Linked DNA regions of Neodiprion lecontei. Each later gene encodes a partner of the first gene's protein in a complex. Links are inferred from orthologs where the notes say so. Each region holds a gene or a part of one and is shown on either strand. Other genes may lie near its edges.

What was found. Proteins that work in one complex are often made in the same cells at the same time.
Region 2: parafibromin (region 1) and RNA polymerase II-associated factor 1 homolog share a complex: the UniProt entries of both Caenorhabditis elegans proteins name them as parts of the PAF1 complex. The link is inferred for Neodiprion lecontei from reciprocal best matches to the Caenorhabditis elegans genes cdc-73 and pafo-1.

The regions. Positions count from the first base shown.
Region 1 is NC_060262.1:32,034,057-32,040,054, forward strand, and holds parafibromin, read right to left. Parts: upstream 4,247-5,998; 5' UTR 4,160-4,246; coding exon 4,029-4,159; intron 3,039-4,028; coding exon 1,765-3,038; intron 1,563-1,764; coding exon 1,421-1,562; intron 825-1,420; coding exon 788-824; 3' UTR 597-787; downstream 1-596. Other genes in the region: U3 small nucleolar ribonucleoprotein protein IMP3, read left to right, coding at 4,486-4,622, 4,781-5,095, 5,527-5,599, 5,760-5,783; uncharacterized protein LOC124293362, read right to left, coding at 5,811-5,998. UniProt on the Caenorhabditis elegans protein: Component of the PAF1 complex which is a multifunctional complex involved in transcription initiation via genetic interactions with TATA-binding proteins, elongation and transcription-coupled histone modification.
Region 2 is NC_060263.1:34,360,315-34,366,943, forward strand, and holds RNA polymerase II-associated factor 1 homolog, read left to right. Parts: upstream 1-1,587; 5' UTR 1,588-1,800; coding exon 1,801-1,871; intron 1,872-2,841; coding exon 2,842-2,922; intron 2,923-3,114; coding exon 3,115-3,207; intron 3,208-3,674; coding exon 3,675-3,999; intron 4,000-4,082; coding exon 4,083-4,226; intron 4,227-4,321; coding exon 4,322-4,425; intron 4,426-4,514; coding exon 4,515-4,731; intron 4,732-4,905; coding exon 4,906-5,149; intron 5,150-5,357; coding exon 5,358-5,782; 3' UTR 5,783-6,067; downstream 6,068-6,629. UniProt on the Caenorhabditis elegans protein: Component of the PAF1 complex which is a multifunctional complex involved in transcription initiation via genetic interactions with TATA-binding proteins, elongation and transcription-coupled histone modification.

The sequences.
Region 1 (5,998 bases):
GCTGCAACTGACGACGGCTGGATTGATAAAATACGTTGACTGGAACGGCAGAAATGATTCACTACTGGCCTGACATATTTTCAAGGAATTGAAACTTCACGCTTCAACGGACTTGTTACTCAACTACAGGATAAACACTCCTATATTACGTTACAGCACCCACGCGATCTTTGATTTCCGTTGAACAGATTGATTTCTTCGCCGCACAAATCCCGTAATCACGCACCACGATCTTCCTCCGAAGGCAGACTGCGATCCAATAAATCTTGTAAAGTAGGCATGTAGATACGTACCTACATAACATACATAGGCGTAAGCCACGCGTAAACGAAAACACAGCGGCTGGCCGGAGGGGGATAGGAGGAAAAAATGGCAGACATATTGAGACCACGGGCTGAGACCTCACACCACATGCTTAGCCGGAAACTAACCATTCGGAAGTATGAAAACATTCACGTTTTATCATGGAAAAGAAAATTTTTCCGAATAAAAAAAATCATCACCACTGCAAATAACTGAATATTTATCGTTATACACAACCGTACTATTTATAAACATATAATATTTCCATTTTTTCAATCTATATTTCCACATAATATTCATGTACTCATTTTATTCATTTTTATACCAATATTTACACTTGATAATGCTATTCTCTTTTTTTTAACGATTATAAACCGTATTAGTCATGATATACAAACTTAATATACGTGCATGCGTATGCTGTGTGGATGATTGTGTCATCTATATATTACAAGCTGCTTAGAGCACGATTCATGTTCAGTTATTAAAATCGCAGATGTGGTTTATTCTTGATCATATGCCTGAAACAGAAATAAAACCATTATGACACCGTATATCATAAATTAGAAAGTCAACAGCTTAGAGGTCTTTTTACCTATTGGAGACCAGAAATCTTACGCTCGGAATTTGATCTACTTCTAGTTCTCTCTTGGTATACAAAAAGTTGGTGAAAAAAAGTTAGCTGCTCTATGCCTTTTCTAATCCGTTCATTCCTCCAAACTATTATCTATTACTAAACTACACTGCTCAACTGTCAAGTCAATTAAACCACTATGCAAGTGAAGTTCGATGTTTAAACAAAGTTGGTAAAACTGGTCCTCATACATACAACTTTAGAGAAAATTGCTGGCTGATATTTGACAATAGAATAGGATTAATAATAATAATAGTAATAATAATAAAACTTTGGAAGAACACGGAAGTTTGACAACACACATGCTGTAACATATTTCAAATAAATGTAAAAATGATCTGAATGCTAAGACAGCTTTTTTCCTTACAGAAAAATTAGGCAAATAAAAAAAAAAAAAAAAAAACAATAACCGTCGGAATTATTGATATTCTTTAATCGCAAAAAGTTATGAACTTCGCTATTTTGTACATAAATTGATCTTACTTGTCCAATTGCTCCCAGAAGACCATCAATGCTGCTCTATCTAAATGCCTCTTGGTGCGACTCAGTTCCACAACAGTTACTGCCCACTTGGCAACATTTGCATCTAGCTTCATTTCATCGTATTTCAAATGAAAGGCACAAACTGAAATCATATTAGTAAAAACATATAAAACTTGATCAGGCATTTTTATGAAAAGCAATAATATAAAAACTATTTGAATTCTCCAACCACCAAATGAAAAAAAGTTTGGGTGACAAAAACTTAATTACAGAATAAAACTACAGGATCTGTCACGTATCCAAGTGACATTGACCAGTAATGTAGATATATTGAATTGTCTTACTTTTTGAAAATATCTCGACAGGATTTCCGTCGTAAGGCCAACCTTTGAACTGCCATGCAGGACCCATAACAAACACCGCAACGACTCTCTCCCAGTCTGCATTTGTCAACTTTTGGGGATTATCAACAACTCTATAAGGAACAGTGAGACCACCATCTTTTCTTCGCTGAAGAAGAATCTCATTCTCCCTTTTACCACCTTGTGCTCGCTTTTCCTCGTTGCTAACATACTTCAATTCTTGCAATACTTCTTTGGCATTGTACATCGTTATAAGAGATGTAGTTGCACTGGGTATAATTATTATGGGTGTTCTACTTGGTCTTTTATTCTGAGCTGCTTGTTGTGGAGTCAGTTTTGCAGCAGATGCAGGAAGTAATCCGGAGCTTGGTGTAGCAGCAGGATTGACTGTGGGCTTTCTTATTGCGGGATTGGTACCTTCAGTCACAGATTTTAGCGTCATACCATGATAAGTCCCCATTGTGTCGATTTTAAATCCCTCAGTTTCTTCTTTTTGACGAATAAATCTTTCCTGGTCATAACGATTGTAAACTGCTGGTTGTGGCAATGGGCGCATAGGTGTAGACCTTGGCGTAACCATTGGTGCGGGTATTGCAGGCCCTTTTTGCATCCTGCCTTCTTCTCTGGCTTTGATACTTTGAAGTATGGCAAATATGTTCTTGGCAAACATTTTACCTGCACTTTGAAGTATCGTTGCTCTAGTTCTCCACTGTCTTTCTCTAGATACGATGTCCTTAGTATCATCGACATCCATGTCTAGTATAACACGCAAATCCGAACCCATACCAATGTCGTCATTTTCCTTGATTGTAGTACGCTTTTTTGCCAAACGTTTAGCTTTGATTGCAGCAATTTTCTCAACAGACATTGCCTCTGAAAGAGATTTGATATTGTCGACTGTGACAGAAGCTTCTTTTGGCGCATCCAGTCGCGCTGCCAATTGTTCCTTCACCTTCTGAACATGTGTCTCTTCAAAACGTGGCTTCTTAGAAAGTCCCGCATCTAGCCCATCTTCGGCAGTTCGTTTTACTTGTGTTGGTATTTCCAATGGAGCTGATTTATCTATGGAGGCTGAGGTGGCTGTTTCACCATTAAGGTAAGCCAGCAGATCTTTTCTGTCCGGACGGCGCACCACAGGTATATTCTCTGCGGCGGCTTGCCGCACATACACTGGATGCGTGAGTTGAACATGTTTCAATAAAAACAAAAGGCATTCAAGAGTATAGTACTCCTTAGGTGTGCCTTCCTTTCCGGATCTGCAAAATGTAAGCAGAAAACTGAAAATTTCACAACCAAACAATTACAAGGACTACAAAATATATGTCGATTCGTAGACAAACCCAAAAACTAACATGCAATTGAAATCTTACCACTTTGTAATATAAAAAAAATTAAATTCATGACATTTCACATTTTGACAACGATCAAGCTATTATCTTATATTTCTTATTTGCGTTTCGTTATGTCACTGAAGTTTCATGTCTCGCTGACTCGTTTGATGCGAGTGAAATCGAGATATAAACATTGCGCAATTGTTTTGGATAATTATAAATGTAGGTAATTGTTTACAGCTTCATTTTACATTTCATAGTGTTCAAATCTATGATTATGCAATAATAAATTTAATAAACATGTTTTGTTTATTTTGCGATTCGCTGGAGAAAAAGTATGTGAGAAGGTATAATGATACCTCTTTTTTCACATCGTGGATTACACTTGAACATTCATCAACAATGTATGATATCTGAATGCTAGTAGAAATCAAGTTTGAAATTTGTGAACAGCAGAAAATCTTATCGTATCTCCGTAGAAATTTCACATTTGATTCGTTCGTAAATTCCAAAATACAGCGACAGCTACGTCGATGTACAAAAAGAAAATCTTCATAATAAATAGGAGGAAGCACGTAAACTTTACTGCGTTTGTTTGCTACATTTACTCAATGTATCAGAGCGTGTTTGCATCACACGAAAAGACTTCACCTTATTATACGTGTACAAATTTGTTGAGAAATGGCCCGCGTTGAATTTCATCCGCCACTGAAGTAACCAGTTCTTAAAATATCGGTGAAGAATAAGGATTGTATAACACTGATTTCAGTCAGCTACACATGAATGCAATATGAAAACTTAAATAATCTTTGTGCCAAAAAAAGCAAAACGACGAGCCTGATTTTTGGTTGTAGTTTGCCCAGATTGGAAAGTAGTATAAGAAATATAATGAGATTTTTTGGATGAGATCCTTACCCGTATGTCAAATAGTTTGTCTTGACATTTTTTGGCCATGAGAATTCACCAAATATAATTTGGTTTTCACGTTCAATAATTTCCTTTTTATTTACGTTGAATTGGCGAAGCAAACTCAACGGATCCGCCATGGTTGTTTACCGTGACGGTTTCGTTCCGCAGTTCCCACCGTCCACCACCGTCCACGCACGCTTCTACTGAGCAGAGAGTACTGAGGTTGTACAGGCCGACTTTGGGTACGTTCGACTGGGTCGCTTTGAGCCACATTGAGCACTCTGCATTGAGCGCTGTGAGCGCCATATCCTATAGCATTTATATGTATATTTATATATGTGCTGAAGCCTGAAGCCGTAAGCGCCCAAGTCGAACGCACCCATTGCTTTCCGCTGAAAACCAGACTCGCGTGTCGACAAAACACACGTGTTCGTGTAAGTCGTGACATTTTTGAATTCGAAAGATGGTTCGAAAATTGAAACATCACGAGAAGAAGTTACTGAAAAAAGTAGACTTTATTTCTTGGGAGGTAGACAATAACTTGCACGAGATTAAAATTTTGAAAAAATACCGAATCCAAAAAAGAGAAGATTATACGAAGTGAGTTGTCATTTTCAGTATAACCTCCACATGATCGAAATATTCGATACATTTCTCTCAGAGATATTGACATCACCTAAGCTACTGTTTCCTTAAAACTGTTCGTTATGTTTCTAATTTTTAACTTATGTGTACGTATAACAACTACTTTATTTCAGATACAACAAATTATCACGACAAATTCGAGAACTGGCTAGAAAGATCAAGGAAGTAGATGCTGAACATCCATTCAGAATAGAACAAAGTGCCATGTTGCTGGAGAAATTGTATATGATGGGTCTCATTTCCACTAAGTGGGATTTATCTCTGTGCGAGAAAGTTACAGCCAGCTGTTTTTGTAGAAGAAGATTACCTGTCGTTATGGTTCGTAATAAAATGAGTGAAACCATTAAAATGGCGACAAAGCTAATCGAACAAGCTCATGTACGAGTTGGACCTGAAGTCATTAAGGACCCAGCATTTCTTGTAACAAGGTATATACTTTTTTTTAAATCATTAATATCCTAATTTAATCAAAACAAATTGGCATTATTTTTAAAAATATAATGATATACTTTTCTAATTTACTTAGGGTAGTTGACGGTAGAGTTAATAAATAATACATATTCTATATCAGTTATAACTTACCAGAGTAACTTGAAAGATATTTCTGTGAATACTTTACAGTTTTTCCTGGTTCACATTAAAGATCTTAGAACTAGACAATAATCCTTATTCTATATGACATTTGAGAGACGTAAAGTAATTATTCAGTTTGATATTAAACAGTAAATTTAGTTTTAATCTGTAAATAATAAGACCAAATAAAATTAACTGGTACAAGTATCTACCAATTTTTAAATTTTGCTAACTATCTGAAATTGACATCCCTAAAATGCTAATCGTAATAATTTTCGATTTCCAGAAACTTGGAAGACTTTGTGACATGGGTTGATACTTCAGCAATAAGGAAACATGTATTGGAATACAATGAAATGGTAGGTGTCATGTTCTGGAGCAAGTAATAATATGTCGTTTGTTACACTTTGTGTTGCAAAATCTAAGAAAATGTTCTAATACACAACATTTTTCAACATATTTCGTTACAATTTGTGACAATCATTTATCTAATCAATTGCATGTGCTGTACTGTTTCAGAAAGATGACTTTGAGGGTATATGAACATTCTGATGAAATGCCGCAGAACAATCAATGGCGATATAGTTTTCTGAAACCAGTTTCCTGATCTTTATTACCGTTGTAAAAAACTGCAGTATTATTCAACAGTCGTAGTGGTCTCCCTAGTTTCACGTGGGATGAAGGCAGTGAACAATTACGTGAAGAAATGCTCGGATTTGTTGTATCGCGTATTTCCATGTAATCACTTGTTGAGAATA
Region 2 (6,629 bases), on another chromosome or scaffold:
GTTTGGAGGTCAGCGGACAGAGTCGTAAACTAACCAGGTAATGAGTAGAAGTTGTAAAAAGGAACCTTGATCATCTTTACATTTGTTTTTTATTACTTTTGAGATAATGATTGCCTAAGGATCATCAGGGTTTGTTACAGCATGGACTCAAATATTAGTAACAATCGAATGTTGCCTTATTTCTAAAAAATATTGACAAGTAGTATTTTTGTGTAGAATGGTCTGGGTTTTCCGATGCAAAGAAACTGTATTTTTAACAAACCAGGGGAATATAAAGTAACCATCGAGAAATTATAGTTATAGTTTCGATTTCGAGCAATTATTGCTGTAGCGTTAAAGTGTCCAGGTTTCGAATTGAGGGTTGCGCGTTTGAGGTTTGTAAATATTAAGTTAGATTTTGGTTAGTGGGCTGCAAGCTCAGTATATTAAGAAGTAGCGTGGGTTACGAATAATTTTCTACTGTTTAATTTTGGATCACGAAGAGCAAATTTTGAATTCCTTTTTTTTTTATTTGTTTTTGTATCGCCGCTATTGCAAAATGTATTATTTTATTTTATTTTTGTTAAATAGCGTGTCGTTGTCGAGTGTCTCTCTATCTGTCTTTCTCCCTCTCTCCAAAATTACCCCTCCCCTCGCCGCGGTACTGAACTACCGAGAATATTACCCGAGGTTTAGTGGAGATAAAGATTTCAAGCAGTATTGACCACGCCAGGCGCCCAAGAGAATCTCGCGATATCGTTTGCATGGTCTTTATTTTTCAGCGTACATCGCGGACCGCCAAATGATTGTACGCGCTGTAAGTTATCAGTCGCATCTCCGGGTGGCCGAGGTGCAGTAAAAATCAGCGTCACAGTACACAAATTACGTAAGGAATAACTATATGTCTTCTCCTTTGGTTAAATTAACTCCTTCGACTATTTCTCCTATTATTTGCATCAAGAATAGGTTTCTAACTCTGTTAACAGTAAACCAGGTGTATATTTATTGTGCATCTATTTAGATAACATTAATTTTGTCTATCTGATGGAATTACATTAACATTACCGAATGTGGCAAGGCTCAAATGAACTTGCATAGTTGAAAAGTATAGATAGATAGACAGATAGATACGTCATTCGACTCGGCAAAATCTAGATACACGCGGTGAACGATTAGTAACATCAGTTCTTGTCGTCTTTATGTACCAACCATTTGCCGGATTGGGTTGCGCGTGCACGGCAGGACCATAGACTTATAAAAGGTAGACTGAAGCAAAAATTTAAAGGACAGAAATATGCCGGGAGTACTCCTTTCTCTCTCTGACGATATTTGCGGCGGGGATCGAGGCGGTAGAGGAGAATGAGGCGAAATTATGCACCTATGTCTATAGCTGTTCCAGTTCCCTACGCCCTTGTCTCCCGGTATGAAATCGATTGAAAAGAGAGAGCAGCCTCCCAATATATCTCTGTCCTTTATATGTAAGCTTCAGTACCTCTTGTAGGAGCGCTCAGACTATCTTTATAAGTCTATGGGCAGGATGCAGAGGGCGCCGCTTGACGATGCATTTGTCACGTCCACATTCCATTACGAAAAGTCCCATCAGGCTATCAATCTTTGCGTATCCTTAGTCGACGCATAGTGTGAGAGGGTAAACAGTGGTTAAGGGACAGGGGATGGATGTATGTTCGTGGTTAAAAACTTATAGGTTATACGTTATAAAAATATTCATAAATATCGGAGTGCGGTATCGTGATTAGTTAGAGTACCTATAATAATTCGTGAATAATATGTGCAATTGACAAATACATCGCTACTTACGCTATGGCGCCAACCATTCAGACAAATAGCAGTAACGACAGGGACAAGCGAACTGCTAGGCCGATTGAGAAGAGGTAAATTATATGAACCGCTATATATTCTAACTCCCTGCCAACACTTTTTACTGCCACAACCCTATCAAAAATCTCTTCTGTATATACTCTTGAAGCAAACTAGTTAAATTCTGCATGTAAACGTTACTTTGCACCCTTTTACAGGGTCTGTCCGGAAAGTAGTCGAACTGAATTTTTCTCGCCCAGAGAGAGCGACAGAGACCTTTTCGTGTGGATCGGGTTGTCGGCAGTCTTAGCTAAGAAGCGCACATGTCCCCAATCGCTTTCGAGTCTTTCCGGAGTGTAGGTCGATTTTAAAGTGAACCCCGGTCAAGGTGCCTCGTCACGACCTCTTGAATGGCCTGGACCAAGCCGTGGTGCCATCCTTTCGGAACCCGTTTGAGTCGAGGGAAAAGAAGGAAGTCTGCAAGAGCTACATCTGGGCTGTAGGGTGACTGGGGATTTTTGATCATTTCATGGGCTTCACTTGCGGTTGAACTGAGTTCAAAACAAAACTTTATCGCGCAATGCTGCTCGAATAAACGATTCGTTGCGAAGCGTGACGAGGCACCTTGACTGGAGTTCATTTTAAAATCGACCTACACTCTGGAAATGCTCGAAGGCGATTGGGGATAGGTGTGCTGCTTAGCTAAAACTCCTCACAACCCGACCCACATGAAAAGGACCTCTTTCCGTCGCTCTATCTGGGCGAGAAAAATTCAGTCCGACTACTTTCCGGACAGACCGTGTATACTAGCATCTAAACGTTAATGATATCAGCAAACTATCGATTCATTTTACCCGACCAAATTTATGTCATAGCTTAGAGAGCAAATTTTGCTATAACTTGTAGTCTCTGAGACTAAGATCTTTGTCTGCCGTAATGCAACTATTTTGATGATCGTTAAATTTGATCATTCACCTCGCTTGAAAAATTGATCAAAATGTTCCTGTTCATTAATGTAACATTTTCTATTTACATCAATTACAGTGGGAATCAGATGACCTCTGGCATTCAGTCCAACAATAATAAAGATGCCATTGATAAACGTCCTAGACCAGCTGAAAACAGGTATATATCTTACATTAGTACATAACGATTTAAAAGATTAACAGAAGAAAAAAAAAAACATGAATGCAAACATCAGTTGTATTTCAAGCTGAGAAAATATAAAAAAAGAATGTGCACAAAATCTGATATTGCAACCTGTCTGCAGAAAATATTGGTCGATTCAATTAAACATGTTTCACTTGTGATTTTCAGGTCTGAATTATTATGCCGTGTAAAGTACTGTAACACCCTACCAGATATTCCATTCGACCCAAAGTTCATCACATATCCATTTGAATCAACAAGGTAATAGAGCTAACATATGTTGCAGTTCACTAATAATTGTAATACAGTCGAACCTGGATAAGCGAGAGTTCAAGGGACTGCAATCTCTTTTTCGCTTATAGAGGTTTTTCACTAACCCGAGTTTCTAGCTTACAGAGGTACATGAAAGGTCTGTCTCACTGACGTGACAATTACTCTTACTTACAGAGTTTTCTCGCTTACCCAGTCCTCATTCAGTTTTGACTGTATGTGGTTAATGATTAGCACCAGTATACTTTAAAATTATCTAATTCTCGAGTAATGTTACGAAATTGAAAAAATGTCCACTCTAACAGTTTGCAGATTAAATCCGGTTATATAACCCGATATTTTAGAGAATTTTAGCTGTTTTAGGAATGTAATTTAAAATATTGACATAACCAAAGTAATAAAACTGTTATTTTGTTGGTAGTACTTCAGATATAATAAGAGCTTTGTAAATCATACAGATTCATACAGTACAATCCGACATCTCTGGAACGTAATTATAAATATGAAGTATTGACGGAGCATGATTTGGGTGTTGAGATTGACTTAATAAACCGGGACACCTATGCTGGAGATATTAACGCCCAACTTGATCCTGCGGACGAGAAACTTCTGGAAGAAGACATCCTCACTCCTCAAGATTCAAAACGTTCTAGGCATCATGCGCGGAGTGTATCATGGCTCAGACGTACGGAGTACATCTCCACTGAACAGACACGGTTTCAACCCCAAACTATGGACAAGGTTGAGGCTAAAGTTGGTTACAGTATTAAAAAGAATTTCAAGGTAATGATATCTGTTTTTCTAATGTCAAAGTCAAATCATGATGTGTGGCATTTCAAGTAATGCATGATTTTATTTGTTGACAGGAGGAAACATTATACATGGATCGAGAAAGTCAGATAAAAGCTATAGAGAAAACATTTGAAGACAATAAAAAGCTAATTGAAAAACATTACAGCAAACCAAACGTTGTGCCTGTTGAAATATTACCTATCTATCCTGATTTCAAGGTGAGCAATAACTGACGATTTTTCCTTTTATTTTGGACCTATTATTAGGAATATTAAGGCACTTGTTAATCTCGCTTATTTCATACCACTCACAGGTATGGAAGTACCCATGTGCTCAGGTAATATTTGATTCCGATCCAGCTCCGACTGGTCGATCAGTACCTGCGCAAATTGAGGAAATGTCGCAGGCGATGATCAGGTAAACTTGAGAATTTGTGCAGGCAAACTTGTAAATCCCAACTGGATTTTACGACAGTCTTTAACTTGATATTTCATACCTTTCTGCAGAGGTGTGATGGACGAAAGTGGTGAACAATTCGTTGCGTACTTCTTACCACTAGAGGAGACATTAGAAAAACGTCGCAGAGATTTCACTGCAGAAATTGACTATGCCGATGATGAGGAGTACGAGTACAAAATGGCAAGAGAGTATAACTGGAACGTTAAAAGCAAAGCTTCAAAGGGATACGAAGAGAATTACTTCCTTGTCATGCGTCAGGACGGGGTTTGTAATATTTGTATACCTTTTTTAACAAAATCGCAATTCGGTATATTAATTCTTATGTCTTAAATTGAAGCGATATCGAACTCAAGAATACTGTAATAAGTTCAATTTTTAGTAGTCTAGTATTTCGAAAGTGCAAAATTTCTCACATTATATCGTCTTTTCACTGTATAGGTTTACTACAATGAGCTGGAAACTCGAGTACGTCTTAGCAAGCGTAGACAGAAGGCTGGTCAGGCACCTAATAACACAAGATTAGTTGTGCGCCACCGACCATTGAATGCCAATGAATTCAGGATGCAACGTTATCGTGAGAAGCAGCTTGAACCACCCTGTGAAGATGACGAGGAAGAGGAAGAGGAAGAAGAGGAAGAGGAAGAGGGACAACCACAAGAAACTGAAAAGGCTGAAGACAAAGGTATACCGAGACATTTAAAAGTTCTTTTGAAAACAGAAAATTCGTGTAAAATAAACACTTTTTCTTTGACCAGTAACCATAATGTTTTGTTCGTCGTTTTTAATACCTTGGAAAGAACTTTGTCTAGACTAAAGTCGAGAGTTTGAATGTATATTATGTATAACATCCGTTTCTGAATGATAATGAAACCTATTTGTGTACTTTTCAGCTGGCTCTGATAATGAAGGCGGTTCCCGTGCATCGTCGCGTGCATCTTCGCGAGCATCCAGTAAGAAGTCACGATCTCGTTCAAAGTCAAGATCACGTTCAAAATCAAGATCTCGATCAAAATCTGGATCGCGTTCAAAATCTAGGTCTCGTTCAAAGTCACGCTCCCGTTCAAAATCTCACAGCAAGTCTAGGTCTCGTTCGGGATCTGCTCAATCTAGAAGTACTTCAAAATCACGATCTCAGTCCAGATCTCGATCACGGTCCAAGTCCAGATCCCGATCACGGTCTGGTTCTGGTTCGCCCATTAAGTCTCCATCGCAGTCACCGTCAAGATCTAAATCGCGATCAAGATCAAGGTCTGGTTCAGGAAGTGGCAGCGGGAGTGGCTCGGGTAGCAGTGACAGTGGTTCCGATAGTGAGTGATCTGGACTATAAGTTTAATTGTATTATTAGCATAAGTGAGCAATCGATTACCTGTCACCGTTAGTCTCCCACTCACTCGCAAATAAGATAATCAAGGAAGTGTGCAACATTTCGTTAGGCTTAATTACGGGGCTATCTGTTTGTTTGGTAGCCTTGTTCATGATAAACTTTGGTGATGTACAGAATCTGCATTGACTACAATTAACATATTAGGGATTTTATATAAAATATGTCAATGGTAGTTACAATTTTTAATAAAACAATTTTCATTAAATGCACCCCAAATACTTTTGTGCAACTCATTGTCAGTCACTAATTTCTACCAGCTTATTCTCAGTAAGAACCAATAATTCAATACATTCCAGTACCTCTTAATTTTACACCAAATTGGCCTGAATGAAATCCGAAAAATGATGTAACCAGAGTATGAGCGCGAGAAAATCCTGCTTCTACACACCTATAACCGAATGAAACAACTTCAATCAAATAGAACTGTTAGACCCAAAGTAACACCAATCGCCCACCGATATTTACTTGTTATAAGACGTCAACAAACAACATTCATACGGATAAAATGATGACTCGACATATGCATTTCTTCATTGACCCAGCATATCTTTCACTATGAGTCGAGTGGATAGCAGACTTTAGGGTCGAATCCTTCACAGTCGCTCAGCTATGTACGTAACAAATCACCGCGGTGGCAGCATGCAATTCTGATCAAAAACGATCCAGCAAAGTACCACAGTGCCTTATGTTGCCCCAAATTCCACTGTAACTTCATGGTATTTGGACTGCTATTGGAACTCGAAATTTCGAATGCAATATCTGGTGGGCAAAAGATTTT